Linked DNA regions of Rhinolophus ferrumequinum. The protein of the gene in region 1 interacts with the protein of each later gene in a pairwise test. Links are inferred from orthologs where the notes say so. Each region holds a gene or a part of one and is shown in the gene's direction. Other genes may lie near its edges.

Region 1 (6,907 bases):
ATGGAAAAAGTAAGATATGATCCATGTCCCCAGGAGTTCAAATTCTCATGTGGGACGCAGAAACAAATTATTAGTGTAAAAAAGGAGCCTAAGTCTAAAAGACTTGTGAGTTGAAGAATCTTAAAGAATTCATCACCCAATGTCATTCATATTTGACATACTCCTTGTGGTGGGAAGAAACCTGATAGTTCTATACCCAGGAGAAAATTTGAGAATCAGTTTAGAAGTTTAGAAATGAAAAGATCTGTTTAATTGCTAATGAAAGCTAAAATCTATACTGAGAAGGCCAAGCACAGAGGAAAGCAGTAAGCCGAAATGAAGAGTGGCTTTGGATCACAGCTTACGAGGTGTGATCAAAGAATATGGTGAATGTTTAAATAAAATTTATTACAGTAAAAGACACATTGCCATTAATCCCCCTCAAAATACTCCCTTCACTTCGAACACACTTATCGCATTGTTCTTGACACTTTCTGAAGCAGTTCTGGAAGTCCTCTATCATGAGTGTCCTTAGTTGCGCTGTCGTGGCTGCCTTGATGTCCTGAATCAATTCAAAACATTTACCTTTCATGGTCATTTTGACTTTGGGGAAGAGCCAGAAGTTGCATGGTGCCAGTTCTGGTGAATGAGGTGGATGAGGACACACCGTAATGTTTTTATTTGACAGAAGTTGCTGTACCAGAAGCAATGTGTGACACGAAGCGTTGTCATGATGGAGGATGATTTACGGCACACTTTGAAACACACCTTCTCTCAACCATAGCTCACACCCAACAGACTGCATTAAACAAGTTGAAACTTGTCACACTGTTACTAAGATTCGATGTGCCACTTTCCGTATTGAAGATCCCTGCCTTTCCGTTGGATGGCACTCAGCAGCAGCATTCACTGTATTTTTTGATCACACCTCATTAATCTCATTTCCTCAGAAAGGCCTCCTCCACACACCCCTGTTCTCTTCCTGCATAGCGCTTGTCACAATTATATGCTTATTTGTGTTTGTTTCACATTTCTCTTCTCAACTAGACTGTAAACTCCATGAGGGCAGGAACAACATCTGGTTTACTCACCACTGTAAACTCAGCATCTAGTTCAATCCCTAGTACATAACAGGCACTTTATAAATTTCTTGTAAATGAGTGGATGTTAAATAAGTGTTTAGAACCATCACAATCCTGATAAGTGGATGAGGCCCATACAAAACTTTTAAGACCAGTGCAGCAGGATGCTGAGCTGAAGACTGAACTTGTGTACAGAGTCTTTCCCTTCTCTAGCAAAGAGAGGTGCTGGACAGTCATAAGATGGTGGTCCCTAAGATGAGAATTCCTTTAGAGGACAGTTGTCTAGAGCTTCCTCCCCTCTACTTGCTACACCCAAAATCCAGGAGCAATGAGAGGAAGGGTCTAGTGTTAGGAAATAGAAAGTATTCAGCCTTCTCATGCTTGAAGATCATGAAGGATACTGGTTATCCATCTAGCATCCATTGTCCTCTCGCCCCTTACTGGACTGTTTTACTTAAGTAGACATGCCTCCACCTTCCAACTCATGTGATTCAAGGAGCATCCACCCCAGTGCCAATTCCCAATTATGGTAACCCCTTTTCCCTTTTGGAACTCAGGATATGTTTGTATGGGGCAGATCAAACTCACAGTGGGCCCTGTTGCCTAGGTAAGGCTGAGTATGGGCCTGAAAGTAAGAGCTGTGACGGAGGCCTTCTTGTGGGAGATGCCTTGGCTGATTCCTGCCGTGGGAGATCCCTGTTGGCCATTGTGGGAACTGCATCGCCACTGACGTGCGTCATTTGACCAGTTGGAAAATACAAGTTGTCAACAGCGACACCATGTGGTTATAAAATGCAACGTCAATGGTGGGCAGATGAGACGCCTGGTATATGGACGTTAGATTTTCCCTTAGGAATTTTTGGATCACTTAATCCCCTACGAGTTTTTAAAAATGCTGGGCAGGGACCCTATTTGTATATCCTCAACTTGTTGAACTGAAAAATAGAGCTGATTGAATTGATTTCCTTTTGTAGAAAAAACAAAGCAGTGATCATATTTGTAGACTGTTTGAACAGTTTTTACCTATATATCAGGATGCAAGAAAATTAGGCTTGAAGACACCCAAACAAAAACCTTTCCATTTTATGCGCCCTTTGAAAACTTGCCTATAGTTCCCTATTACCTCCTGGATAAAATCCCAGCTTAGCACACTTCCTAAGGCTTTCCTCCTCTGCCTCTCCAATGATGCAACACATTCAGCTTTCTTTTTTTCCTTTTTTTTTAAAAAAGATTTTATTGGGGAAGGGGAACAGGACTTTATTGGGGAACAGTGTGCACTTCCAGGCCTTTTTTTCCAAGTCAAGTTGTTGTCCTTTCAATCTTAGTTGTGGAGGGTGCCATTCAGCTTCAGGTTGTTGTCCTTTCAGTCTTAGTTGTGGAGGGCGCAGCTCAGCTCCAGGTCCAATTGCAGTTTTTTCTAGTTGCAGGGGGCACAGCCCACCATCCCTTGCGGGAGTCGAACCAGCAACCTTGTGGTTGAGAGGATGCGCTCCAATCAACTGAGCCATCTGGGAGGCAGCTCAGCTCAAGGTGCCATGTTCAATCTTAGTTGCAGGGGGTGGAGCCCACCATCCCTTGCGTGACTCGAGTTGTTGAACCAGCAACCTTGTGGTTGAGAGCCCACTGGCCCATGTGGGAATCCAACAGGCAGCCTTAGGAGTTAGGAGCATGGAGCTCTAACCACCTGAGCCACCCGGCTGGCCCCACATTCAGCTTTCTTAGTTATTATATTTGTAAATGCTTTGGGAGTTAGATTTTTGGGGAGGGCAGATATGAGCTGTATCAAAGGGGCCCAGGCTTAATTATAATACTGTCACGCAGGGCGGCCTGCGTGGCCTCAGCTCCCGCTTCCCACATAAGAATGCAGGATGTGGCTAGGCCAAAACGGAACACCCACGGAGCCATAGGTAAGGGAGTCATACCACTATAGTCTCACTGGAGGCTGGATTCACATGACGTGCGACCTGCTGTCCGCTTTTCCACCTGCCAACCGATCCCTTGCTAGCTGCAATCCGCCGTGCTAACTGCAATCTGTGCCAGCCACCATCTTCTTGCCCCCATCTTTTGTTAGGGTAGCCACAGCAGTTATATTAGTGGCCAATGGCTCACTGGTTACAGCTGATGGCCAACTAGCCACAGCTGATGGCCATCCAATCACAGTTGATGGCCATTTACTACCTGAGCCAGCACCTTTCCACGTGAGGCCGAGAGCCTGGAAACTGCACTTCTGGCTCTGTCCCCACAGCACCCTTTTCTAATCATACCACACTGTATCTTAATTTCAAAGTGTATACCCTTCTCCCTAACTAGACTTTGATCATATCGTCAACCACCTCTGCATTTTTGGAGCCCGATGTAGGCTTGACACTGCATAGATTGGGAAAATGCTGAATGGAAGAATAAAATGTCATCAACAAACCCTTATTGGGGTCCTCCAAATGCCAGGCGCTGCAGTGCTCTGCTAGGTCTGGAACTTACAGAACAGGCTGACCTGTCCTGCAGCAAGAGCTCGCAGTCACCTCCTGTGTATTTGTGTGGAGGGCAGCCTGCGCTGGCCAGGAGGCCCGGGCCTCTCTCCCCTCACCTCCTCAAAAGTGTATTTCTGAATTCTTCTGCCAGTTGATGCTCCAGCCAAGTGATATGAACTCCTGCGAGGCCAGAGCTTGTAACAAGTGTGCTAGGAGTACGCAGACGCAGACGGCAAACCAGGCACAGCATCTTGCGTCATCGTTAATAGTGAGCCCCGCCCCCAACAGCGGAGCCAACCAGAGGGCGCGGGGCTGACCCAGCCTCCCCGGGCGGCCGGTGAAAAATCCCGGCGTTCGGCGGCGGAGCAGAGGGCGGTTCTTTGACGAGCTCGGGCTGGATAGGCCTGGCTCCCACACCGCGGTAACGGTCGCGGAGGCGGGGCAAAGGCGGTGGAGCCGGCGGGGCTGGGCGCGCTGCTGCTGGGGGGAGGCGGCTGAAGAAGGTGAGTGGCGCTCCAGGTTCACAGAGGCATCGCTCAGAGCCCCTACCTGAAGCATCCCCGGAATTGGCTTCACCTGGGCCATGCGAGTGGTCAAACTGACCCTTGTCGGGGACTCCAGAGAGGAACCGCTTGGGACGGGTTCGCTTCCAGTCTTACGATTGGGGACCTGACAAACCTGGTTCCAGTCCTGGCTCTCCGCCCTTTGTGATCTTTGGCTTCTCATGTAATGTCTCAGCGCCTCAGTTTCTTCATTTATGTAATACAGCTGGTAATTCTTGCCTTGCATGGTGGTGGAGAAGGTTAAGTGGGACAATAAATGTAAAGCTTAGAATGATACATGGTGTAGACTGGATTCTGGATAAATTGTAGGTAATTACTCGATCCGCGAGAGTTGGTCAGGTCTGACCCGCCCCACTTTTCTGAGTCAAGGAGTCTGAGAAGGTTGCTTGGCGAGTGAAGACTTGGAGCAAAAGCGGGGAGGGTATATGCAAAGGGGTAGGTGAGTATTCTTTCTCCGGTTTATTAGGCTCATTCCGGAGGCTTCTGACTTTATGCAGTCTAATTTGATTCTATTAAGAAAATCGATAAGGTGTAAATGTTGGAGGACTGAGAGACCCGTAACATAGAGACCAATCCGAAAGGGTTTCTACTACCACTTTATGTTCTAACTGTAATAATATTAAACACGGTGCAGATATTAACCCATATTGGTTTCAATTCTCTACATGAGTTGTTTTTTTACTTTCAGTATTGCTTAGTAGACCCCGGCCTACCCCACCCCAACTTGGGGAAGAGGTGGCTTACTAAAGCTTTGCCTCAGCTTCTGCTTCAAAGCGGGGAGAGGAGAATTCTGTCCCTTTATGTAACTTCTGGGGCAGAATGATTTGGTCGAGATGATATCCAGTCCTAACTCCATTCCTTTATCTGTGGTAGACTCAATTCTTTTTAGGAACATGAGTCTTCTTATTAAACAGCATGTTAATACATTTTTGGAATAGAGCTTTTGTATTTAATTCACAGAGACTTTGAAAACATTGCCTATACCATTTATTGCCATAATGGGAAATGCTTTTGAGAAAGCTAATTACAGATTTTAATGTGAGTCACTTCAAAAAGAATAGTTACTTGCTGTGGGGACAGAGCCAGTAGTGCAGTTTCCAGGCTCTTGGCCTCACGTGGAAAGGTGCTGGTTTGGGTAGTAAATGGCCATCAACTGTGATTGGATGGCCATCAACTGTAACCAGTGAGCCATTGGCCACTAATATAACTGCCGTGGCTATGCTAGCAGCAGATGGTGGCTGAGCTAGCAAGCGCGGATTGCAGCTAGCAAGTGGGGTTTGTTGGTTGGCAGAGAAGCGGACCGCAGGTTGCAGATCGTGTGGATCCTGTTTCCTGTGTGTCCAACCCAGCTGCCAGCGAGAATATAGTGATATGACTCCCCTATCTATGGCTCTGTTGGTGTTCCTTCTTGGCCTCACCATATCCTGCGTTCTTATGCAGGGAGCGGGATCAGAGACCCCATATGACACCACGTGTGACACTTGCCATGGTTTATTTCCAGCTTTCCTGCCCAAAAAGTGGTGAAAAAAATTACATTCTAACGAAGGGTACAGTTAAAGGGACTTCAGACCTGTAAAGAGCAAGTTACCAAAGGGCTCTTGGGGAACCTGCACAGTGCTGGAAGATATAGCTGTGTTTTGCTTCTTTGCACTTGGTTTTTTATGCTATGTACAAACCAACTCCTACCCTGCAACTCCCATTCCCACAGTCTTACTTTAGGTATGACACTCCTTAAAGCTAGATTCTATTTTGGCCTTGGTAAGCTTTTGGTCTCTTCTGATGACTCAAAGTTCCAGCTGTGTCCTGTCACAGTCTGAGTGGGAAAGGCTGCTAGATACTATTGGCGCATTAATTTTACAGCATGGTCCTCTAAAAGGGAGGACTTGGTCACAGGTAGAATTGAGGAGATAGTTTTCTTCCTGCCTTTGCCTTTTGTGTTCAGTGGTATTTGTTTCTCTGAGAGTGCTGCTTTTCAGTACCCTTGCAAATAAGAATATTCTACCTTTGAAGCCAGAAGTCAGAATTGATGTTAGATGATGATAGATTTAGACTGCCGGCAGGGAGAGGAAAGTTATGGGGAAAGGAGAAGAGAGAAGGCACATGGTGTTGAGCATTGGAGTCCATTAGCTTCAGTTGGTCCAGCTTCAGATCAGTGTTTACTAGTACCACGGAGGCCTGCTCTAGGAATAACACAAGACCATTCTTACTATGAGGTTGAACATTTTAAGATTGTGGTCTATTTATTTTTTTTGAAACCTAGATGAAGATCCAGTTTCAGACCTGAGACTTACTGGGTGATCATTTAATTGAGATCAACTGGAATGACCAGGTAAAAAGTGCAAGAGGAATGTGCTATGACTGAGGTATGTCTAATGTGATGGATGACTCTCTCTAGATGTTGGGAGGCCATGGAAAGGATTTATTATTTATTGACCACTATACTAGGTACATTACATGTATTTCCTTTTGACCTCTTGGTAATCCTCTCAAATAGATATTTTGATTTCAGTTAAAGAAACTGAAGCCAGAGCAGCCAGTTGACTCAGTTGGTTAGAGCGCAGCGCTCATAACACCAAGGTCGTCGGTTCGATTCCCACATGGGCCAGTGAGTTGCGCCCTCCACAACTAGATTGAAAACAATGACTTGACTTGCAGTTGAGCTGTGCCTCCCACAACTAGACTGAAAACAGTGACTTGACTTGGATCTGATGCATCCTGGAAAAACATACTGTTCCCCAATATTCCCCAATTAAAAAAAAAAAAATGAAGCCCAGAGAGGTTAAGGAACTATTTAAGATAATAAAGATTGCTGGTC
Region 2 (7,783 bases), on another chromosome or scaffold:
TATGGTTAAGTGTATTTTACAGTAAGTAGGCATATATACATAGAAATTAGTATCTTACCTCAAATGTTCAGGTGATGAGGTGTGCAAGCAGAGGGAGATAAATAAAATGAAGGCAAAAGAAAAAAATAAACCCAAACAAAAGTAATAAGGTGGGTGAGAAATCCCACTGGAGGCTAGTTGCAATAGGGTATAAAGGCAAAACTGGAGAGTATCTCTAAGAGCACTGTTGGAGTTCTCATTAAAATTGTTAATGGAAAACCTCATTAATCTGAATAGTCTGGTCCATGCTTACTTAGTAACTGAAAGGTGACCTTCAGCATCCCTGAAAAATTCTTTCAAAAATTTCTTTTTAACTTTTCCAAAGATTCACAAGTTTCTTAGAAATTGGGTTTTTAGTTTTGATGATAATTCCAAACACATCCCCTACAAACATGCTATTGCATACATTTAGGACTTGACATTTACTTTAGTACTTTTATTATCCTTTAATTACTTAATAGGCATAAACTGGTCTCAAATAAAATATAAACAGTTGATAATGGGCCCCAAGTCCTATATAATCATAATTCAATTTTCTCAAACATTTTTGAATTGAATAATCTATAACTGTTCAGGAATTAGCCATTTTAACTTTTGAAATAATGTCAGATGGACAGAAAATTACATACAAATAATTCTGTATACTCTTCAACAATATTTCCCAAGTATTAACATCTTACCACATTTTCTTTATAGAAACCAGCAAGTACTAATTAAGAACATGTCAAAATCTGCTCAATGAATAAATACATTTATAATGAGGATAATAAAAGCACTAGATATTTCTACTTATAGTAGAAATAATAAAGACTCAAGTTTAAATTCAAACCTGATTTTACACCCTTTAAAAGATGATCAGTTGTTTTTTTGCTTTTTGTTTTCCCCAAACCCACCAAAATAGAAACAAAGTCCAACCCTGGGAGGCTACTACCTGAATAATTGGTTTAGAAATGTAGAACTTCAGCCCCGCCAACATTCTGGAAGGCAGTGTGGTAGTGCGTGTATAGTGTGAGAGGGAAGAGGAGGTTGGAGTTGGAGTGATGAGAGAAAGGAATTATAAAGGTTGTAATACAAAGTCAGAGTGGCCACAGGGGGACAGCTTTGAGCCACAGGGAGGCACACAATATTTATTCTTCAGATTCCATTGCTGGGAGTCAGTGGCCCAGAAGTAAGGTCTAGCGAAGGGAAGAATAGAAATAGGCAGTTGGGTAAGTGGAGCTGCAGAAACAAGGCCCAAAAGGGGTAAACAAACTATGGCAACCAAGCTGATAACTGTTTATTAACTGCATATTATGTACTAGACACACTGTTAGGCACTTTACATTCTCTCAAAACCTCTCACAACGATGTATGTTATCCTCATTTCATAAAAGAGAAAGTCAGTTAAAAACACTATATTGACTAGAGATCACTCAGCTATTAACTGGTAGAAACAGAATTCAAACTAAGTCCAGCCCACTGTAAAGCCAGAACTTATTACTTTATATCATGTGAGTTAACTGGTGAAGGAATGACACATTTCAACAAATAGGAAGAATTTGCATAGAGTGATCTTACAGTACTCAGAATGTTGGGGTAGATGTTGGAAAATCATCTGTGAGAGTACTCAAAGGGCAGGAAGCCAAGGTTAACTAATCAATAAAAACAACCGCTATGAGGGCTGGAAGACCACAAAGAAAATTGACAGGCCCGGGAAGTTCCGACTTAGATAGATGCAGGCACTTTAGATAGATGCAGGCACTTTAAGTCTAGAATCTGTCCTTTTCTTGACCTTAGCTTATTAGCATAGTACAAAACACACCCCTGGGAGATTTCATATGCTAATTAAACATGCTATGCATGAAGCAGTAGGTTAGAATATGTACGGCCACTATGCCTGCGCAAAAAAGTCATGAGGAACCAGCAGGCGGAAGCCAGCAGTTTTCCCCGAGCAAACAAGAACAAAGGACTGAGAAACGTGTAAAAGGTGGACTCAGCCAGATGAGGAGGCACTCCAGCATTAGTTGTGAGCTCTCCTGATGCATCAAACCATCCCATCCTCCTTTAATAAAAATTCTTTTCTCCTTTACTGACAACTGGTTATTTCATTGTTTCTCGCACGATTTCCATCCTGGGAGAACTGAAAACCCAACCCACAAGTTGGGTAACAGGAGTTACCTGTCACCATCTGTTGCTCTGTTTCTTCCCCCTAGGCTGTGATCCCTGAAGATAGAACTGTGTTTCTCTTATCTGACTTCTGTTAAAGAAGAAAATTCAACTGAGTAAATTTGAGGATCTAATTAGCTTTATTAAGCGATTCATGGATCAGGTAGCATCCCATCCAGCAAGTAGAAGGGCGCTCCCAGGGGTTGTAAAAAATAGAAGGTTTTTATAAGCAGAAGGGTGTGGCTGGCAAGATACTAGCAAAAGAATAGAAAGGATTATTTTTAGGCCAGGTCATCTTTTGGGGTAAAGGGAATGCCAAGGGTTTTATCAAGCAGTTTACCTCACTAGTTTTGATCAAGATATTCTATACCGATTACTTAAAAATTCCACTCCTGGGAAAGGCTAAAATTGCAATTAGACTAGTTATTAGGTTTTGGTTTGGTGAATGTGCTTAGCAAAAGTGATCCCATTTTGCCTTGTTTCTTTTTCTAGCACTTCCAAGTGTGTAGCAAACTGGACACCAGTTCAGCCTAATTATTTACTGAACATTAACAATGTACCAGACTTAAGGCCCTGGGACAGGGCTGGCTTCATGGGTGTGCAACTAGGGTAGTTACACAAGGCAATATGCTCAGAATGGCACTTGGTTTAATGCTCTGTTGTCACCATCTTGAAATTCTTAATGTTATGTTTGAACTTTTGTTTAAGACTGATAGGACAAAGGAGCATGCTTGGGATGAGAGGAGAGAGGCACGATGTGCACGCCCACCATCATTCCAAATTACCCCCATTCACATAAAGCATTTGTGAAGCTGGGTAAGCATAGAATTCTGGTGGACTCATGATACATGGGGGTTTAGGAAGACTCAAAGTGTTGCGGAAGAAATGACGAGGACCGAGAGACTCAAGCGGCTCGCAGAGATCAGGGAGAACACAGCTTTATTACGCTAGCAGGCTCAGTGGGATTGTTCCCAAAGAACTGAACACTAACTGGGGTCAGGCGCTTTGTTTTATATGTTTAGGCCTCCAGGTTGGGGGGGAAATCTGGCCAGGGGGCCAGGGAGATCTGTCCCTAGCAGCTGTGTTTCTTTAACATTTGTTTTGACAGGGAGGCCTCTAACTATTGTCCCCGCGGGAGACATCTCCGATAAGGTATGGGAGGAGGAGGGGGATTGAGCTCTTAGGGGGGCTGCCTGCAGGAAAAACCATCCCAACAAAAGTCCTCAGATTCCATAGTACCGATAGAGTGTACATCAAAAAGTAAAATAAATACAGGTGAGTTAGTTTTGTGCATTCCCCACCGTTTTAGTAAGAACAGTAGATGTTTATATGAGTTATGAAATATGAATTGTGAAATTTCAGTGATTCTCCATACGAGTTAAATGTTCTTATATGTGTATTTAAAACTGGCAGCGCACAATATAAAGAATGGTAAAATTCATGCTAATAATTTAAAATTTTTCTTTAGAGTGAATTAAATAGCAAATTGATGCTAGTAATTAATAATAGCATAATTAATATCACAATAATGCTATCAATAATAAACTAACATTTTCCCCCTGATTTTTGAACAAGGGACCTTGCATTTTCATTTTGTACTGAGCCTCACAGATTACATGGCCAGGCCTGCTCCTGAATATGGCCGTAAGATATGTGATACTTACCTTTCATAGACTGGAAATGCCTAAAGGATTAGACTTTACGCCTGGAATTGTTCAATATTTGGAGGAAAACTGAGTGAAGAGACCAGATTACCTTCCACGTCTGTCCAATCCTGAGATGACAGTAACTATAAACTAACACTAGACAGCTTTACTGGTTTATCATATGATAAAAGAGGTATGAAAGTGGACAAATCAAACCAGCTAGTTCCTTTTTGTAACTATTTTGGGAAAGAAACCCCACCAAAATTTAGCTAGTTTAAACTGTTTTAACACTCAGTAACCGTTTAGGGAACTAAGGGGAAAAAACAGAAAAAAAAGTTGTTTTCTCTTGTGATACGTTAATCAACTCCTGAGAAGCTGACCCCTCAGTTTGAAGTGAAAGAGGGAGCTAACAAGTCCAAAGGTGCAGAGAGGAACTGGGTGTGCTACAGAGTAACACTGGCTTCTAGTACAAAGGTTACGTATTTTGAATAATGGTCAAGGCATGATCCTTTCACAATGTAACAGAGAACATTTTTTTTTGAAGACAAAACTATCCATAATATGACAAAACACACTCGGCACCGCACACAGACACCCCACTCATCCCCACACCCCCACACACCCTGGACCACAGCTAAGCAAAGGCGAGACCACCGGAAACAAATCATGTTGAGTGGCTGTTTCCTCTCAGGTTGCATCCATTCCGTTCATTTGATCCTACAATTTCTTTTTGTCATTTGCTGAAATGTTCTTGGCTGTTCTACTTACCTACTGGGTTAGGGAAACCTGCACCAGAATCCTGTCTCTTTCAACTCCGCCTCCTCTGAGTTCCCTAAAGCTCCGCCCACTTTTAATCGCTCCTCTTTTCGCGGAGATCAAAATGGCGTCTCCCGCCTCTCATTTTCTTTCCGGAAGTACATTGTTACCGCGAGATTTTGGCCCCACTATTAAGTGGGTCGCGCAGTTACCTCAGCCTTTTCTTTCGGTCCTTGGAGAGGTGGGTAGATGTCGGCACGTTGGAGTGCTGAGCCCGGAAGGTTGCTGGGTGCAGACCCCCGAGGCCTGGGCTACAGCCTGCGAGTAGGCTGCGGAGTTCCGTAGTGAGCCGCTCCTTTTTGGTGCAAGCTGACTGCCGACCTGGATGGGTAAGGAAGAGAACATGGCCGCACGGGGCTGGTGGGGCAGGGAGGGGTTGCTTTTCTACCTTTTACCGGGTCCACCACGTTGCTTAGGGAATAGCGAGCCGTAGAAGTCAGGCCTTGAGGGTGGAGGGCTCGCGGTTGTTTTGGGCGTGATCCATTGTGTCTGGGTTGTATTATAAAGTATTATCGACAAATACAGGTTTTCTGAGTTAATTAGTGTGAAGTAACAATTACGCCATTTTCCATGCATGAGGTTAGGTCCTTCCTGGAAACACTCGCCCCAAGGTCACACATGGTAAGTGGTTGAAAGGTATAGTTAGCGCTGGTAAAGTGCATTGTCTGGCCACGTGGCCTCTCATCGTAGAATCTTAGAATAGGAAGCGACGCTTAAGTAGGAATGCTTTCTAAACAAGGGTCCGAAAAAGTGGCTTTTGAGTTAACTCCACTTTAACCTCAAGAATACCACCAGTGCCTTTGGTCCAAATTTTGTTGAATTCGTTTTTGTGCATTTATTTCGTGACTTAATTAGAAGTTGCATTAAAAAACTACAATGATACCATGAAGATACCACGTGAATCTGCTGGATATTTTACAAATCTAAGATCTTTGTGACTTTATTGATTTCCAATATTTGAAATATTTTGCTATTTTATCCTAAGATTCCTTTCAATTTTGTCATTCCCACCTATACAAAAGTGGCAGAATGATAGCATCTTCTATAAGGGAGATGCAGTATTGAGATGTTATGTTTTTTAAAAATTATTTTGTACCAAACTACTCTAAAATCTTCCAAAGAGATTTTTTAAAAGGAAGACAAAGGGCACCATTGTAGTCTTAATCTTTCATTGAAACGTTTGAGAATTCAAAATTTTTAAATTAATACCCATAATGGCAAAGAGATAATATGCCAGGAAAGAGGGTTTCATTGATTTTGATAAGCCGTATTATGAATGGAAAGAGGCCATAAATGAAAATTCCAGACCGGGAGTTTAGTGTGGTGTATTGGATTGAGATAGTAAATTGTGATGATTATATTTCCTGGTATATTGAGGCCATGATTTGCCTTCTTGCTTTATAAGTTTTTCCTAGGAGTTCCTATCTGCTCTTGGAAAATGGCTTTTGGGCCACTAATTGAATGTTAATACTCGTAATTGCACATTACTATATGGCTAGTGATGAAATTATATTTTTTACTGTTATAGGAAGATGTTTGATATTTTTCTTGGGAATGACAGTACTTTTCTAGAATCTTGTTCCATTGGATAACTTTGGAGACACAAATGAAAGAACTTGTGAATAAAACTTCTAGATTTTAAAATTTGATCTGAAATGGTTGCTTCCTAAATGAAAATATTGAAGGCCTGTAAATGATTTTTGCCATGATTTACATATAATGGCATAATCTAACTACATCAGATTTTGCATTTTGGTATATTAGCTGTTTGTGCTGGCATTGATTTGTTCAAGGAAACTACATATTTGTTTTTTATATTGTCAGAAATTTGGTTAAAGCAAAGAACAAGTGACATATAATTTTGACTTGGAGAAGATACATATCAAGAATGGATTCTCTTGACTATGTAACAGCATCTGATTCAGCTATGGAAATTGACAATCAAAGGTAAGTGCATTTTTTTTGTGTTAACCACCAGTTTTTTACTGGAAAACACTAGATTCGATGATAATATTTACTGTATTTGAATCACCAGGAAGGCATCAATCGTTGTAGATAATGAGTGGTAAAGGTAATTTTCAAGAATTAGGAATGAAAAGAAAAACCTGGTTTACATAGACCTTCCAAGTTTATGTACTTACGTAGTTAACAGTGGAACACTTTCTTAACCCAGGAAAACAGTATATTCTCTGGGCCAACTTAATATCTATCTCTTCCTGACTAACTCTAATTTTATAACAAGAAAATGGACATCAGTGGGCAATCTTGCTTAAAAATCAACTTCGGAAAATAAAAACACAACTTATTGCACATTATGCTTGGCTTATGTCTTTGATGGCGGTATCTCCTTACTTCATCTGTTGTTTTCAATGGGTAATCAAATCAGTATTTCTAGTATACCTACTAGGCAACTCTTGAGTTATTTAAAGGAGCCTCCAGCATTGAACAAGACTGCCTGAGTAGAACTTGTATTTCTCTTGGAAGTTTATTTGGTGAGTGCTTTGGCCTTTGGGGCTATTTTAAAGTAGAGCGATCAGAACTAAGTGCTTGGCTAGTACTGAGCCCATCTTTAAAAATTATCTTGAGCATGTTTTCCTGCTTTGGTGAAAGAAAAGTACTTTACTGGTAATAAGCATTCTATTATATAAAGAGGATGCAATTAAGTTTCCCCCTTTTTTCCCTAGTGATAACTCTTCCTCTGGTAGCAGCTTATTTAAAACTCAGTGTGTTCCTCACTCACCTAAACGGAGGCAAAGAAACACAATTAGAAAGTTTGTTCATTCACCTGAAAGTGTTGAAGCAAGAGATTCATCTAGTGACTCATCTTTTGAACCAAGACCATTGACTTTAAAAGCTATTTTTGAAAGACTGAAAAAAAAGAAGTATAAAAAGAGGAAATATAAGCCAACGGGAAGACCAAGGGGAAGACCAGAAGGAAGGAAAAACACTAGAAGGTCACAAATAAATAAACAATTTAAAGCTAAAGGACCTGGGTTCCCATTTTTAGAATCAGAGAATGGGAGAAAATCACTACCTTGGAGAAAAATTTTAAGCTTTGAGGTGAGTCAGTATTTTATATATGTGGATATACCATAGCAAAAGTGCTTGAAATGATTTGTTGGTCACTTAGATTTTGA
Region 3 (7,616 bases), on another chromosome or scaffold:
TGTTGCCATACCCATTCTTGATTAACAATTTAGTGGTTTCCAGAGGGTAAGGGAGGGGGTGGTGGTAAAAGAGGGTAAAGGAGATCAAATATAGTGATGGAAGGAGAACTGACTCTAGGTGGTGAACACAATGCAATATGGGGACAGAGCCAGGAGTGCAGTTTCCAGGCTCTTGGCCTCACGTGGAAAGGTGCTGGCTCAGGTAGTAAATGGCCATCAACTGTGATTGGATGGCCATCAGCTGTGACTAGTTGGCCGTCAGCTGTAACCAGTGAGCCATTGGCCACTAATATAACTGCCGTGGCTAAGATAGCAGCAAATGGGGGCGAGCAAGAAGATGGTGGTTGGCAAGCGCGGATTGCCGTTAGGATGTTGGGTTGCGGACAGTGTGGTTCCTGCTTCCTGTGTCTCCAGCCCAGCCGCCAGCAAGAATATAGTGTTATGACTCCCCTATCTATGGCTCCGTGAGTGTTCCTTTTTGGCCTCACCCCATCCTGCATTCTTCTGTGGGGAGCGGGACAGGAGACCCTGCATGACACCCTGAATGACAGCAATATATAGATGATGTATTATAGAATTATAAACCTGAAGCTTATATGTTACTAATCAGTGTCACCCCAATAAATTTAATAAAAAAATAATAAAGTAAAAAAACCCTCAGAAATAAAACAAAAGCACTTTCAAAAATTGCAATGGTATCATTAAAGGCAATCATTTGCTTCCTGATTTTGTATAAATCGTAACCTATATCCAAACATATGTGATTGGTTAAATATAGTATATCATGGCGTGTAATATTTTATGGATATGGGGATATTTTATAGATATGTAATATTTTATATATATGTAATATTTATAGATAATATTTTATAGATATGTAATATTTATAGATATGGGGACTATTGTTAAGCAGGAATAAAAGCAAGATAACGAAACTACATATAGTGGGATTTGGGAAAACTATTACGTAATTTTACTGCCTAGAGACCCAGAAATTCCCAAATCCTGTCTTCCTCCTACCACATCTCTTTCCTGTAAGGTCTTGAAGGAAAACATATGTGGACAGGGAAATGGCAAATGAAATAAAATGCCACGTTATTATTTATTTTGTGCCTTTGTGTCCACTGCAGAAGCTCTCTGGTAAACTGAGTTTAAGGGTCCTCCTCCTCACACTAATTTCAAATGAAAATCTTAGGATCAAATTACCTGGTAACCAGCTGCACAGTGCAGAAGTGGTGACAGGACTCTGCTACCTATAAGACAAAAAATAGCCACACTTGGGAGTATGACCACCTCCCTAGTCCAGGTGAAGCCTGGACCTGGGACATTTACCCATCCTGCTCGTCGAAGTGAAAGCAACAGTTTATATACAAGTCCTTTCTGGGGGAATCACTCCTGCCTTCCACCTCCCCTTTTTCCTCTCCCCACCCGCTCCCATCTTTTCCACTCTTCACCCTCCTCCCTTTCCCTATCTGCCCTCTCCCCTCCTCCTCCCTCCCTTGCTTTTTCTTAAACCCTCCTCCCATTCCCTTTCCCTTCCCAGCTTCTCACCTCCCTCTTCCCTCTCCCTTCTTCCACCTTCCTCCATGTTCCCTCCCCCTCCTATCTGCTTCTCTCTCCCTTGTCTGGTCTCCCACCCTGTCCCTTCTCTCTAATCACTTGAATGTGTATCCTCCAAAGAAGAGCTAAGATTTGGAAAATATAGCAGAATGTTATGAGTTAGACTTTTTTAAAAATTCCCTTTCCCTATTTTCTACTTTTTCTACAATAAGCCCTACTTTTTATAATTAGGAAAAAATGCTAGATTTTTATAGCATGATACACTTTATTTGACATTTATTTATTTTAGGTTGCAACTGAAGTACATGAAAAAATATCAAATGATGTAGTGATCATTTTCAGTGAAAGGCAAAGTAGAACACAGTACAAAAAATGTGGTTAGTAATTTAGTTTACAGTTACACTCTATAGGAGGAAACTTTTAAATACTATGTCATATTAACACTTCAGTGGTAAACAGTAACTTCAGTATGATTACATTTATAGACCACACACCGTCACATAAACAAGCTCAGTCACATCATATATAGTACTGATAGACATTCTTAAAAGTATGTTCATCTTTTTTCAAGCAAATTTCACAATGCACTGTTCTAGTTAATATAAGTACTATAGCAAAGTAATGAAGGCACAGATAGTGCAAGCAGATTTAAAGCCCTAGTCTTCTGGGCTAGAAAAAAACAAACACACACTTGTATTGTTACTTTAGTAACTTGTTTTGTTCAAGCAAATATTTGTTTGGGATAACAATTTTAACAGTTTTCACAGTTACATTCTGATAGGAACATGACAAAAGGATTTCACAAAAATCAAAACTCTGTAGCACCAAACTAACATGCTTCAGATAACGGACAGCAGTTTACAGGTTTTAAAGAATATTACTCTACAACAGGCTATATAAAATAAACTGACACTTAGACATTTTAAGACAGTATTTTAGACCACCAAGAAAATACAAAAGCACAAGGCTGTAAAGAATACTAGTGTTGAGGTTATAGGACAGGTTTTTTTTCAAGGCTATATAAACCTGCTTCGTTTCTGTCTGAAGTTTTGAGATCTTGCAAATTCTTTTCAGGTAGCTGGTTTTTTATTTTCGATATTTCCTGTTTCCATAATCTTTACCATCATCATAGGTACCTTTGACTTCTCCTGTATAGTAATAGACTGATTTCAGGATGACATTATCATGTAAAGTTCGACCAATTTCAAAGTCCTCATCAAGGATAGCATCTTCTCGTGGTTCCAGCTTTCCAATCTTAGGAATCTCAGGAGGGTTAAAGAAATTGAAGAATGATGCTTTAGGAACCACTCTGGGCCGGATTTCAATTTCTCCAGTAGCAGTTGTGCGACTCTGAGTGGTTGTCACCGTAACGTCCTTTCCTCTTCTCCAAATTATCTTACAGCCTTTGCAATCTTGAATTTCCCATCCCCAAGCAAAGAAGGGATCATCATGATCTGGTTTTGACTTTATTATATATGTCTTGGTCAGTACCTCATTTCTGAAGTATGGGTTGGGCAGAAAATAAAATTCAAATGTGTAACTTATAGGCTGGCCAGGTTTTGAGAACTTCAGGCTAATATCTGACAGGAACTTCAGAATGGGCTCATCATATTTCTGAATCCTGGGCCCCAGCTTGTCAACATTCTTTAAAACAGTTAGCCAATAGTCAGGGATGCCTTTAGGATCTTCTCTTTTAGGCCTTCCCTTACGAGCTCTTTTCAGATTCACTCTTTCTTTAGGCCTGACCTCAGGAACTCTTTTAGGAGCCTCTTTTACTGCAGCACTTGCCTTAGCCTCTGTTGCTTTAGGCTGTTCTTTATCTTCTGCCTTTGCCTGGGGAACTTCTTTAGGCTCTTCTTTTACTTCAGGCTTTGCCTCCACAAAATCTTTAGACTCTGTTCTTTCTTCAGCCTTTGCCTCCGGAATTTCTTTAGGAACCTCATTTTCTTCAGCCTTTACCTCAGGTTTTTCTTTAGGGTCGTCGTCTTCTTCCTCACCCTCTAAAGCAGGCATTTCACTAGAGCTGTCTTCCTGTACCTCCTCATCACTGCTGAACACCTCATCCTCTGAATTCCATTCACATTCTTCCTCTGTAGGTTCATATTCTGCATTGATGATTTGAAACCGCCGATCATACAGAGGCTTATTGAGTTCGGCATATTTTCTTTCGAGATCGTGAATTGCCTTTAAGAATAGGGCGTCTACCTTGTCACATTCATCTTGAATATTTCTGAGCGCCTGCACACGATTTCGAACTGCCTGAGGCAGCCGATCTACGAAATTTTTACCCGACGGAGCACGCCGCGCCCTTCTGGAAGGCCCAGGTACCCTCTTCTTTCTATATAAGTAGCTACGGCTGCGGCTACTGCTGCTGCCACTGCTGCTGCTGCGGCTGCTGCTGCCGCTGCTGCTGCTGCCGCCACTAGTGCTGCTGCTAGAGCTACTGCTATCAGATTCTTCCCCAGAATCACTAGACGAGCTAGCCATCATCTCTTCAGCAACCCCATGGGCGGCAGGTTCCGAGACCATGTTAAGATCCGCTTCTGCCATAGTGCAAGCCTGCAAACCTCTTAAGGTGGCGGCTACCGCTGAGACCGCGCGCCCAGAGATGGGCAGAAAATGACTCACGGATGCTTGGATGGCCCAGGCTCGGGATGAGGAGGCGGCAGCGGCGAAGGCAGCAGTAGCGCAGGGAGGGGCGGGGCTGCGGCGATCGCGCGGAGGTGGCGGCGGAGGCCTGACCCGAGCGGCGGCGGCCAGCTTCTCCTGGCGACAGCTATGGCGGACAGAGGCGTGCCGCCGCGGAGTGGTGCAGTGTGAGACCCCGAGATCTCTCCGCCGTTTACATCGCAAGCCCCCTCCCCTTCCAGCCCTACCTCCCCTTAATTTAGTTCCCAGTGTGCCTTTAGCTCGCACCTCATTTGTTGGGAAAGCTTGATTGACGATCGCTAAGCCCAACGAATGCGCAAACGCTGTGCGCCCCCTAGGCTCCGCCCGCCTTCCCAGATGCTTCTTGGTAGCTGGGGCACACACCCCTGGAAGACGTTTTATCCCTACAAAATTCTATCTTTATAGTTTTATAATTAAAAAAAAAAAGCTTAGATTGAGGTAAAAATACTAGCCATAGTTCCTGACAAGGGAAGAGGAGTATCCTTCTCCTGTCCGCTCATCCTGAATTCCCGTTTGATTTGTCAGGGGCCTCTTCACAAAAATCTGTTTTTAAAAACTTGGATGAAAATACTTCAAATGGCATCCTTGGGTAGTGTGATTAGGCTTTTTTTTTTAAATCTCTATCTAAATATTCTATGAGCATGTATTTTTACACTGAAAAAAGGGGGAGTCGTTTATTGGCAAAGGGGGGAGGGGCTAGAAAGCAGGCATATTGCATTCCACGTAGCAGTTTTAATAAGTGCTGTCTGTGATGTTTGGCAAGCCTGCTTTAATCCATCTACAAGGTTTGCGAACCCCTGTTGCCGTGAGTCAAATTACACCATTTTTACTATATTTCTGTTTTTCAGCTGGCATATAATACACCCCAGCCTTGCTGCTGACTTGCCACGTAGCCCTTCTCAATGTTTACAACAACCTTGTAGATAAAATAAAAGGGCATTCAAATGTTGGATAGTATTATTTAAAAGCAGAGGGTTTGCTCTATACTTTTGTGCAGCAGTTTTCAATTCTAGGAACAGAAGGATGGGAGGGGGGATTTGTGCTAGGGAAAGTGCATCATCTGTCAGAGTATACGTTACAATGTCATCTGCCACCCATTTGCTGCAAACATTGTGAAATTCTAACCGTACTCAGTATGATTTAGAAGTCCATTAATATGCAAAATGAAGTTTAAAAACAGGTATCTGTTATTTTTATTTACAGGATTCTTTCCTGCTACAGAGCAACTCCCTTGGTACAACCAAAAAGACCAGTGTTTACTTTTCATTGAAAGGTAAGGAACATATTTAGCCCATTTTTATGAATGACAAGAATTACCTATCTGTATATGAATAAATTCACAGGATGTAGTCTTTTAAAGACTTAATTGGAAGATAACTTGTTATTTCTATGAAAGCAGAAAAATCCACAGAGGTGATTTGACATACTAATGTAGAAAATAATTAATTACATTCACTATCTAAACGTGCTCATAGAATACAAGTAATAAATCAAAATATAAAATATAATGAATTATTCATTTCAAATAAGTGAAAATATGAAAGTTAGATGAACCTTTATGTTACTTTTTCATTATAGGATTTGTGCTTTGTCATATTTTTTAAAAGTTAGGAAGCACCTTTATTTTCTGTTTTGTAAATGAATTTACTTTTATTTCTGATTGTCAAAGGATATAAGCATTGTAAAGAAAAAATACAACTTAGAAAGTTCCAATGATAGTAAAAATACACAATCTTAACAACCGGATGATAACTGTTGTTAGCGTTTTCATGCATTTCCTTCCAGAAATTTATTTATACATACACACGCCTGCCTATCTGTATATACTGTTTTTCCTATGTGACGTGATATTATGTTTTGTAACCTGCTCTTTTATCAATTTATTGTGGCTATATTTTCAAGGTAAATGATCAACGTCTTATTTTAAAATAGATGCATATTCAATAGAAATATTTGCCTTAATTCATTTAACCAGATTCCTGTTGCAAGGCAGCTATTTCCCAACTATCTCTCCACTAACATTTTTTTCCAGTTATAAAAAATTAGTTCTGTATACCTACTATATATACTCGTGAAAATTAGTCATAGGATGAATGCCTAGAAATGGGAGTGCTGAAATGGTACGCTCATTTTATTCTTTGATACTTATTGCCAACTTCTCTCCTGAAAAGTTATCTCAATTTACAGTCCCACGAACAATGCATAAGAGATCATTATTTAATCATTCTGCTAATATATTTTTATGCCTGTCTCATGCCAGGCACATGTAGTAAAGGATGGCAATATAATGGTGAATAAAATTTACTGGGTGTGTATCCTTTCGTTTCATACTTTTAATGAAAACATATAATTTGGAAACAATAATTTAAATCAGTGGGGTTATGCCATAAATATTGCTCTGTAACCTGTTATTTTTATTTAAAATTATGGATATCTTTTTCATGAATGGTCTTATATTTTTATAGTACTTTAATGGCTTAAAATACACATTAAATTTTGTACCATCAGGAATTAGTATTTTGGAGTAAGCAGTGAGTTAGGGATCCAGATTTTTAAAATATGTATGTATTTTTTTAATTAGCTAATTTTCTTGGTACTGTTTATTTGATAATCTTTCTGTCTTACACTTACTTGAAATACCACCTGTATCATAATAGCTAAATCGCTTAATTTTGTTTCTGAATTCTCTTTTCTGATTCATTGGCAATAATTTTTCAGCAAGCAACTAATGAGGCAGTTTTTTTAATAGCTTTATATTTTGTGGAAATGATATACATTGAAAAGAAGACAGCTACTACAATTGAAATCCAAATAAATTAAAAGTAATTCAAAATACACTCAGAGGTGATCACTATTCACATTTTTAATGAATATCTCCAAATTAATTTGTTATTATTATGTATTTGTCTTAGATTAGTGATAAGATTAAATGTCTTTTCATGTTTATTGTACACTTGAGAATTGCCTATTCATATATTTTGCTTGTTTTTCCACTCAATTAAGAAAGAAATTAATTGGTGGTAAAATCCTAAAGGTAAAATATAATTTTGGCCTTGATTGGAGGCAACTGTGACTTATGATATTGGACAAATATGACTTAATTACAGCTTTTATTCTAAAATGATCTACTTAAAGGGTTGTTAAGATGCTTTTCAAAGATTAGTAATTAATCATTTAAACTGATACAGAAAAGTCTGGAGTGGAACAGGGAGAATAAAAAGAGAACACAGCTTGTAAAAACCTCATACAAAGATGATATATTAGTAAACTGTTCATATTTTCAATTTGAAAGTATTTTTTTCCCAAGCCATAAACTATAGGTGACTTCTTGTAACCACAATGGTCTACTTTTATTGTGCATGCATTACCTAAGAACCTAGTAACAC
Region 4 (7,480 bases), on another chromosome or scaffold:
GGTGCCAACAAAACAGACACTACCACTCGAAAACGGCACAACTTTACGAAGGTTTCCTCTGGCTTTCTGGAGATTACTACCCAGAAGCTCAGAGTAGTTCGAGGTATTTCCGCTCCAGGGGCGGGGCTATGGTCTCGTTTCTCTCGGGCATTCTGGGAAGTGTAGTCTGGGGCAGTGTAGTCAGCCGCACTTCCGCTTCTCGCCGGCAGGGCTAGGGAATTCTGGGAAGTGGTCCAGGCTCCTGTTCTGTCGTCGGAGGGAGATACTTTTGACTGTAGGACGTCAAGGATGGTGTCTTGGATCCCCGGAGCCCCTCCAGTCCTGGGACTGCCCAAGCCGCCGCCAGATGCAGAGCACAGGGATGGGAGACGTTTGCGTTCCCTTCTCCTAACCTCTCGTTTGGAGCGGTTCTTGCTCCTCGGGTTGGGGGCGGCCCGGGTCGCATACGCCTAATTTGAAGGTCTCTTGGCGTTCCTCAGCCGACTTCCCGTACTGTCACTTCCGAGAGTAACAAACATTATGCGAGTTACTTAATCTCATTATCCTCATCTCCAAAATAATGTCATCATTAGTACTCCCTCATCATTTTATACGAATTAATTCATTAAATGACAGCAACAGCCTTATGAGGTAGGTGCCGCTATCAGCCTTTATTTTTAACGGATAAGGAAACGGAGGTAATATTAGAGAAATAAAACACCCTATCAACACAGAAAGTCCTTTCTTCACAATGTAGAAAAGAAAGCCATCTTATTACTGAATAAGCACATCAGAGTACAGTCTTGTAAGTAATTTCCTATTTATATAGTCAAGCAATCATAAACTTTTTATAGCATTCTGTTTTTAACTACTAGGTATATACATTCTCAAGTTAGCGGTGGAATCTTGTCTTCCTATAAGAGGACTTGACTACACCATTTGCTGCAAATTCTTTGATAAATTTATCCAAAATTTACTGTGAATGAAGTCTTAGTTCATTGATTTTATCCAAAGGAATAGTAAAACTTATCTTATCATTCCCTGCTAGCAGATTTACAGAGAAAGGCACCTTGGTTAAACTCCCACAGTGATAGGGACACTCACTTTCTCAGATGTTTACATTCGAAAGGGACAAACCCAAGACATTTGAAAACACTTCTGGGTTGTAAACTTGGTTAAGAGTCAGCCTCTAACAAGATTTACATGCATACCAAAAGATTAGAGAAAGGATGCAAAAGCACTAGGTTTCTTTTGGAAATGCTCTATGAAAAAGGGAAAGGAAAAATGGATTCTTTAGAGAAGGAAAATCCTCTTTTTTCATTTCCTCTTCATGAGTTTATGTTGTTTGCCCAAGATTTACAGCTAGTAGGAGCAGAAATGCCATTTAAACCCAAGGATTTGGAGCCTCCAGAGGGAATTTTTAATCTCTATGCTGTACATTATTTTAATCACAGGAAATAGTTGTGTATATGGCTTGAGGAAGCTTTTCCTCTCAGGTTTAGAAGGTGGTTTGCAGCTTTATAGTTTATATTTCAATTATAGAAGAAATGCATGCTCATTATAGAGAGATTGGGAAATACAGAAATATAAAAAGGAAAGAATTGAAATTAGCCATAATTTCAGGATTTAGAGATAAACCACTGTCAACATTTTTAATGCATTTATGCATTGGTGCTGTGTTACACATATTTTTTCCTTAACGTTTTAGATGGAAATGCCCAAACATATGCAAACAGAGAAAATAATGTAATGAAACTTGCCCCCCCGCCATGTTCACTCATCTGCAACCCTTGTCAACATTTTGTCTATCTTATCACATCAATTCCCCTTCTCACAAAAAATACTTATTTGGGGCTTGGGGACTTGGGGAGGGGGAGCTGTAATATTTTAAACCAAAACTAAATCCCAGTCATGGAGTGAGTAGAATTTAAAAGCCTTTAATATAAATTGATTGTATAGGGAAAGCAAAAGGGTTAACTTCAGAATTTTCATTCCTGGCAGATGATAGTTATGTGAGAAAGCTAAGGGACACACAAACATTGAGATTTGGACAGGAATAATTACAAATTTGTTTTTTTATTTGGAATTTGACTTGGCACAATCTTCTAGATCTTGGTTTCCAATCTGTTTCTTCCATAGGCTGCATGCCACTTTGTTGCAGGGAATATGCTCCATTCTCTTTACATTTTGCTTAGCACCTAGCCAGAGACTAGGAGAGAGGAGTTCTTCAGTGGTTGAGGCTGTTACGGTACAGGGGCCTGCAGCTCAGTTAGACTGTATTCAGAATTCCTGAAAAGGATTTAGGAAACAACAGAAGGGAATAATATAGACTTTAGTGATTCCTTATCTCACTTTCAGTGGGATGCAGAATCTACTGATTTTCTCATAGCATTCAAATTTGAATGTAATTATTGATATCTATTTTAATGACTTAAAGCACACTTATTTAGAAACCTACTATCCGTAATTTATGTGTCCAGTGTTTTCCACCAAGGATAATATTTCCTAACTTTTTATAGGGTTGTCATGAGTTTGAGTTTCCAGTGGTTTTATGTGTATTTGTTCATTTGTTCTTTATAGCAACCCTATTATTTATCTCCATTGTACAAATGAAGAAGAAAGGGACAGAGCTCACAGAATAAGTGGCAGAATTAGTACTTTAATCTTGGCAGCCGATTCCAAGTCTGTAATCTTGGTTATTGCACATTGCTTTTACTAGTCTACAAAACAAAAGCTACAGAGGTCTTACTGGATCAGGGAATATTTAAGCTATGGATGAAGACTATGACCTAGAAGAGAAAAGAGCAGAAAGATGTGACATAAGGAACATGGGTGGACATGTAGAGTGGAACGTGGATTTGAAGAGGGAACCAGATATTTCACGCAAATGGAAACAAGAAAAAAGCTGGCATAGCAATACTTATATCTGACAAAATAGATTTTGAAATGAAGACTATACTAAAAGACAAAGAAGGCCATTATATAATAATAAATGGATCAATCCAACAAGAGGACATAACCCTAGTAAACATCTATGCACCCCATATAGGAGCACCTAAATATGTAAAACAAATATTGACAGACATAAAGGCACACGTCAACAGTTACACAATAATAGTAGGGGACTTTAAGACCCCACTGACACCAATGGACGGAACCTTTAGACAGAAAATCAACACAGAAACAGCAGCCTTAAATTACACATTAGACCATAGGGATATAATAGATATTTTTAGAGCATTTCACCCCAAAGCAGCAGAATATACATTCTTTTCAAGTGAAGAGGAAACCAGCATAGGGAAGATTCCTGTTTATGTGACTGGCTAAAACTTTTGTTTCTTCTCTTTGGGGTACTAGATAGACATGCGGGTGAAAATAATTGAATTTCCACGTTAGGATATATCTCTCTGGCAACACAAAGGACAATAAATTGATTGAAGTTAAATATTCTGTTCATGTTGATTAAGCAAGATGTGGTCAATGTAGTGGGTAGCACTCAGGTTCTGGTCATCGCACACCACATTTGGAAACATGGCTCTAGCACTTACAGTAATGTGGGAAAATTACTTAACCTCTTGCTGCCTCTGCCTCCTAAACTGTAAAATAGAGGAAACAATGGTACTTACTTTAAAAAAAATAGTTGTGAAGATGAAGTGTCTTAAGAGTGGAATAGTCCCTGGCACACACTACATACTCCATAAGAGATAGCTGTGTGTAGCAGAATAAAGGTATATATGCTCAGTAAATGAGAAACGCAAACATGTATTGTGTGTATTTATGGATATGTCTTTACAGTGACCATGTTTAAACATCTAATTAACAATGTGTTTATCTTTCAAATTTGTAAATTTCCTGAGGAATGATTTCAATGACCTCTACTGCTTTGAGAAGTTGATCATACAAGTCTGTGCTGAAGCGTGGCTTTTCACCCTGAGTATGTCTAGTTGTCCTCAACAGGCAAGTTGTTCTGACTTATTTGTGCTATTAACAAACGTGGAAATCTGTAATATAATTCTGCCTCCGTTGCTTTTTTTCCCATTCCTTTTATATCTAAAAAGTGCCTGAAACTGCACAATAGAGGCTATCATTTTTTTCCTTTTTCGGGTAGTAGTGGGTACAATCCTATCAGTAAAGCATCACGTGGTATTTCTTACAAGACTGACTTCAAATATTTACTAGTGTTATGTTTCGTTTCTCAATGAAAAACAGCTAAACTCTACTGGCGTCAAGAGATATGCTTGAGGCCGGCAAAATGGCGGGAAGCCACTAAAGGGATTTGTGGAAGCTGTAAGTTTGTAGGCCGGGAACTCCAAGAATTTGGCGATTTTTGTATTTTTTATTTTTAGTAGATCTAATAGGGCGGACATGGTTCTTCCTCCTCTTGGAGGTTCTGGGAAATGTATTCCCCATCTCTGTCCGGAAACAAGGTGCTTCTGGGAAGTGTAGTTCCTGGGTGCCGAGTAGTCAAAGGCACTTCCGCCCCAGGATAGCGAGGCCATCACTGTCCGGGAGGTGAGTCAGCCCTGCGCCCCGCGATTCCTCCGCGCCTTTTCGGCCTCACTGCGGGACTGGTCGCTACCTAGCCGGCTGTCTTAGGATGGAGGAGTCGCGGCCGCCGGCGGAGGCTGAAAGGCGGAGGGCGGAAGCTCTCCTGGCCGGCTTATCATGCAGCGCTGCTACTTCCATCGGTACTATATGTGGCGAGTTATCTCTGCGCTCTCCTCTCCTCCTTAAAATAGCGAGAGAGAGAGAGCAGTTACTGGGGAGGGTTGTGATTAGAATTAAATGAGACAATACGTGTCCAAAGCTTAGGACAGTGGTGGCACATGATAAGGAGTTGGCTTTGCTATTGGTACAGTGAATTCCCTCACCGGCGTCCTGTTAACTGGAAGCCCCACTGAAGACAGAGGTTAGGGCTATAGGAGCAAGGCCGTGGCCCTTCTGTCATCCTTCCGGAAACAGAGCTCTTCCCTAACTTTACTGAGTTTTTATCTCTTTTTTAGGAAACACTGAATCACCCCGCGCTAGTGCTTGGGGATGTCCTCTGCCCCTGCAGTTTATCCCGGAAACAGAGTTTATCGTGCTATCCCAGTGCATCCTTTTCTTCACCACTCCTGAATTCGGAAAGGGGAAGAAGAAGGGATTTCTTGGCTTTTCATAGCCCCAGGTACGTGCTACTCAAAGTACTTTCCTGGTCTGTCATCTATGTTTTCGGTTAATCAGGTTTCCTTCAACTCAGTAAATTACTGCTAGGAAAATGTTCAAATATTTGTTGAATAAACCCGCAAATGTTTAATTTGTTTCTTAATATGTGTGTGTCTATTTCTACACCCCAGATATTTTATATATTTATTTTAAATACATATTCATTTTTAAATTTACTGCGCTTTACATTTCTTTTTGTTGTTGCTCTCTTGTCTTCAGTTTAGTTTGTTCCCTTTTATTTGCTCTCAACTGGTTTGGAAATTATGGGCTTGTGGTATTCTTTTAATTCTTATAAATGATTGTCTGTCTCAGCAAATACTAAATTTAGTCAGCATGTATTCTCATTCTGAAAAATATAGAGTAAAAATATATTTGAAATTTGATGATGGCTTCCCACCACCCCCACCACCACCTTTTTTAAACTGTAGGCTGAGTTATAGATACACTTTTTATTATAACCACCATCCAAATTTGTCATATTATTTCTGGGTTTTTTTTTCCTCCCCCTTCTGCCGCCTTCCCCTGCCCCTGTTCAAGCTGTTGTTTCTCAGTCTAGTTGTGGAGGACACAGCTCCCTGGCCCAGGCTGGGATTATGAGCCTCCCCACCACACCCCACCTTGAGGCAGTTGGTGGTCTGCTGCTCACAGCAGCCGGTGGCAGCTCACACCAACCTGGGGAGGACAGCCCAGCTCTAGGTGTTGAGAATCTTAGCTGTAGAGGGCGCAGCTCACTGGCCCATGTGGGAATCCAACCATGGACCTCGGCATTAGGAGCATGGCGCTCCAACCACCTGAGCCACCTGGCAGGCTGGCTTTTTTTTTTCCTTAACAATGATATTACCAAACATATTTACAAATGTTTTCTTACCATTGCTTCAGAGTTCATTTAGTCATAAATTCATTTCTGTTCAGCTAAAATGTCTTTAACGTTTTAAATTAGTTAAATAATCATTTAGTTGAGCATAGAATTTCAGGTTGACTATTTTCTTTCTTCATTTTGGAAATATTCAGTTGTTTTACATCTCTATTGTGTTTCCCTGTTATTGTCAATCTGTCATTTCTGTTAGATAAACTGTATTTTCTTTCTGGGAGCTTTAAGGATTTTTGTTGTTGTTAGTTTATTTATTTGGTCTTTTGCATTTCTGAGTTTCAATATGATCTGTTTAGGACTATACTTACTTTTATTTGTACTGTTCATAATTTCCATATATGAACTCAGCAGCTAGCTCTTGAAATAAGACTTCTCTGCCATTTTTTTTTAATTAAAGTTTATTGGGGTGACAATTGTTAGTAAAGTTACATAGATTTCAGGTGTACAATTCTGTAATACATCAGCTATAAATCCCCTTGTGTGTTCACCACCCAGAGTCATTTCTCTTTCCATCACCATATATTTGATCCCCCTTACCCTCATCTCCCACCCCCCAACCCCCTTACCCTCTGGTAACCACTAAACTAATGTCTGTGTCTATGAGTTTTTGTTTCTTCATTTCTTTGTCTTTTTCTTTTGTTATTTGCAGTTTTATATACCACATATCAGTGCAATCAGATTGTTCTCCACTTTTTCTGTCTGACTTATTTTGCTTAGCATTATAATCTCAAGATCCATCTATGTTGTCGCAAATGGTACTATTTCATCTTTCTTATGGCCGAATAGTATTCCATTGTGTATATATACCACAACTTCTTTATCCATTCATCTATCGAAGGACACTTTGGTGGTTTCCATGTCTTGGCCACTGTAAATAAAGCTGCAATGAACATTATGTCTTTATGGATAAATGTTTTCAGATTTTTGGGGTAGATATCCAGAAGAGAGATTGCTGGGTCATATGGTAATTCTATTCTTAATTTTTTGAGGAACCTCCACACTGCCTTCCATAGCGGCTGCACCAGTCTGCATTCCCACCAACAGTGTATGAGGGTTCCTTTTTCTCCACAGCCTCTCCAGCACTGGTTACTATTTGTCTTGTTGATGATAGCCATTCTGACTGGGGTGAGGTGATATCTCATTGTGGTTTTTATTTGCATATCTCTGACTAGTGATGTTAAGCATTTTTTCATATGTCTATTGGCTGTTTGTAGGTCCTCTTTGGAGAAATGTCTCGTCAGATCCTCTGCCCATGTTTTAATTGGATTGTTTGTTTTTTTGTTCTCTGTCATTTTTTTACATTCTCTTACTCTCATACTCCTTATTATTAGACAACTGTTGGGGGCTGTCAAGCTATCCTCTGAGTTTCTTGTTTTTTCTTTCATATCTTTCTCTTTGCTATGTGTTTTTCTTTTTCTCCATGCA

What was found.
Region 2: the proteins of CEP70 (region 1) and TAF1D interact in binary tests that used the Homo sapiens proteins (3 or more experiments, as listed by UniProt). The link is inferred for Rhinolophus ferrumequinum from reciprocal best matches to the Homo sapiens genes CEP70 and TAF1D.
Region 3: the proteins of CEP70 (region 1) and FAM133A interact in binary tests that used the Homo sapiens proteins (3 or more experiments, as listed by UniProt). The two-hybrid records come from large-scale screens. The link is inferred for Rhinolophus ferrumequinum from reciprocal best matches to the Homo sapiens genes CEP70 and FAM133A.
Region 4: the proteins of CEP70 (region 1) and ZNF227 interact in binary tests that used the Homo sapiens proteins (3 or more experiments, as listed by UniProt). The two-hybrid records come from large-scale screens. The link is inferred for Rhinolophus ferrumequinum from reciprocal best matches to the Homo sapiens genes CEP70 and ZNF227.

What each region holds. Positions count from the first base shown.
Region 1 is NC_046300.1:37,673,585-37,680,491, reverse strand, and holds the start of CEP70 (centrosomal protein of 70 kDa), read left to right. Parts: upstream 1-3,901; 5' UTR 3,902-4,032; intron 4,033-4,042; exon of another isoform or gene 4,043-4,300; intron 4,301-6,352; 5' UTR 6,353-6,421; exon of another isoform or gene 6,422-6,455; intron 6,456-6,907.
Region 2 is NC_046294.1:64,901,707-64,909,489, reverse strand, and holds the start of TAF1D (TATA box-binding protein-associated factor RNA polymerase I subunit D), read left to right. Parts: upstream 1-4,770; 5' UTR 4,771-4,975; intron 4,976-6,470; 5' UTR 6,471-6,534; coding exon 6,535-6,593; intron 6,594-7,330; coding exon 7,331-7,706; intron 7,707-7,783. UniProt on the Homo sapiens protein: Component of the transcription factor SL1/TIF-IB complex, which is involved in the assembly of the PIC (preinitiation complex) during RNA polymerase I-dependent transcription.
Region 3 is NC_046284.1:60,758,889-60,766,504, reverse strand, and holds the start of FAM133A (protein FAM133A), read left to right. Parts: upstream 1-4,598; 5' UTR 4,599-4,819; intron 4,820-5,433; 5' UTR 5,434-5,503; intron 5,504-7,616. Other genes in the region: NAP1L3 (nucleosome assembly protein 1-like 3), read right to left, coding at 2,647-4,110.
Region 4 is NC_046298.1:40,959,553-40,967,032, forward strand, and holds the start of ZNF227 (zinc finger protein 227), read left to right. Parts: upstream 1-4,466; 5' UTR 4,467-4,667; intron 4,668-4,982; 5' UTR 4,983-5,146; intron 5,147-7,480. UniProt on the Homo sapiens protein: May be involved in transcriptional regulation.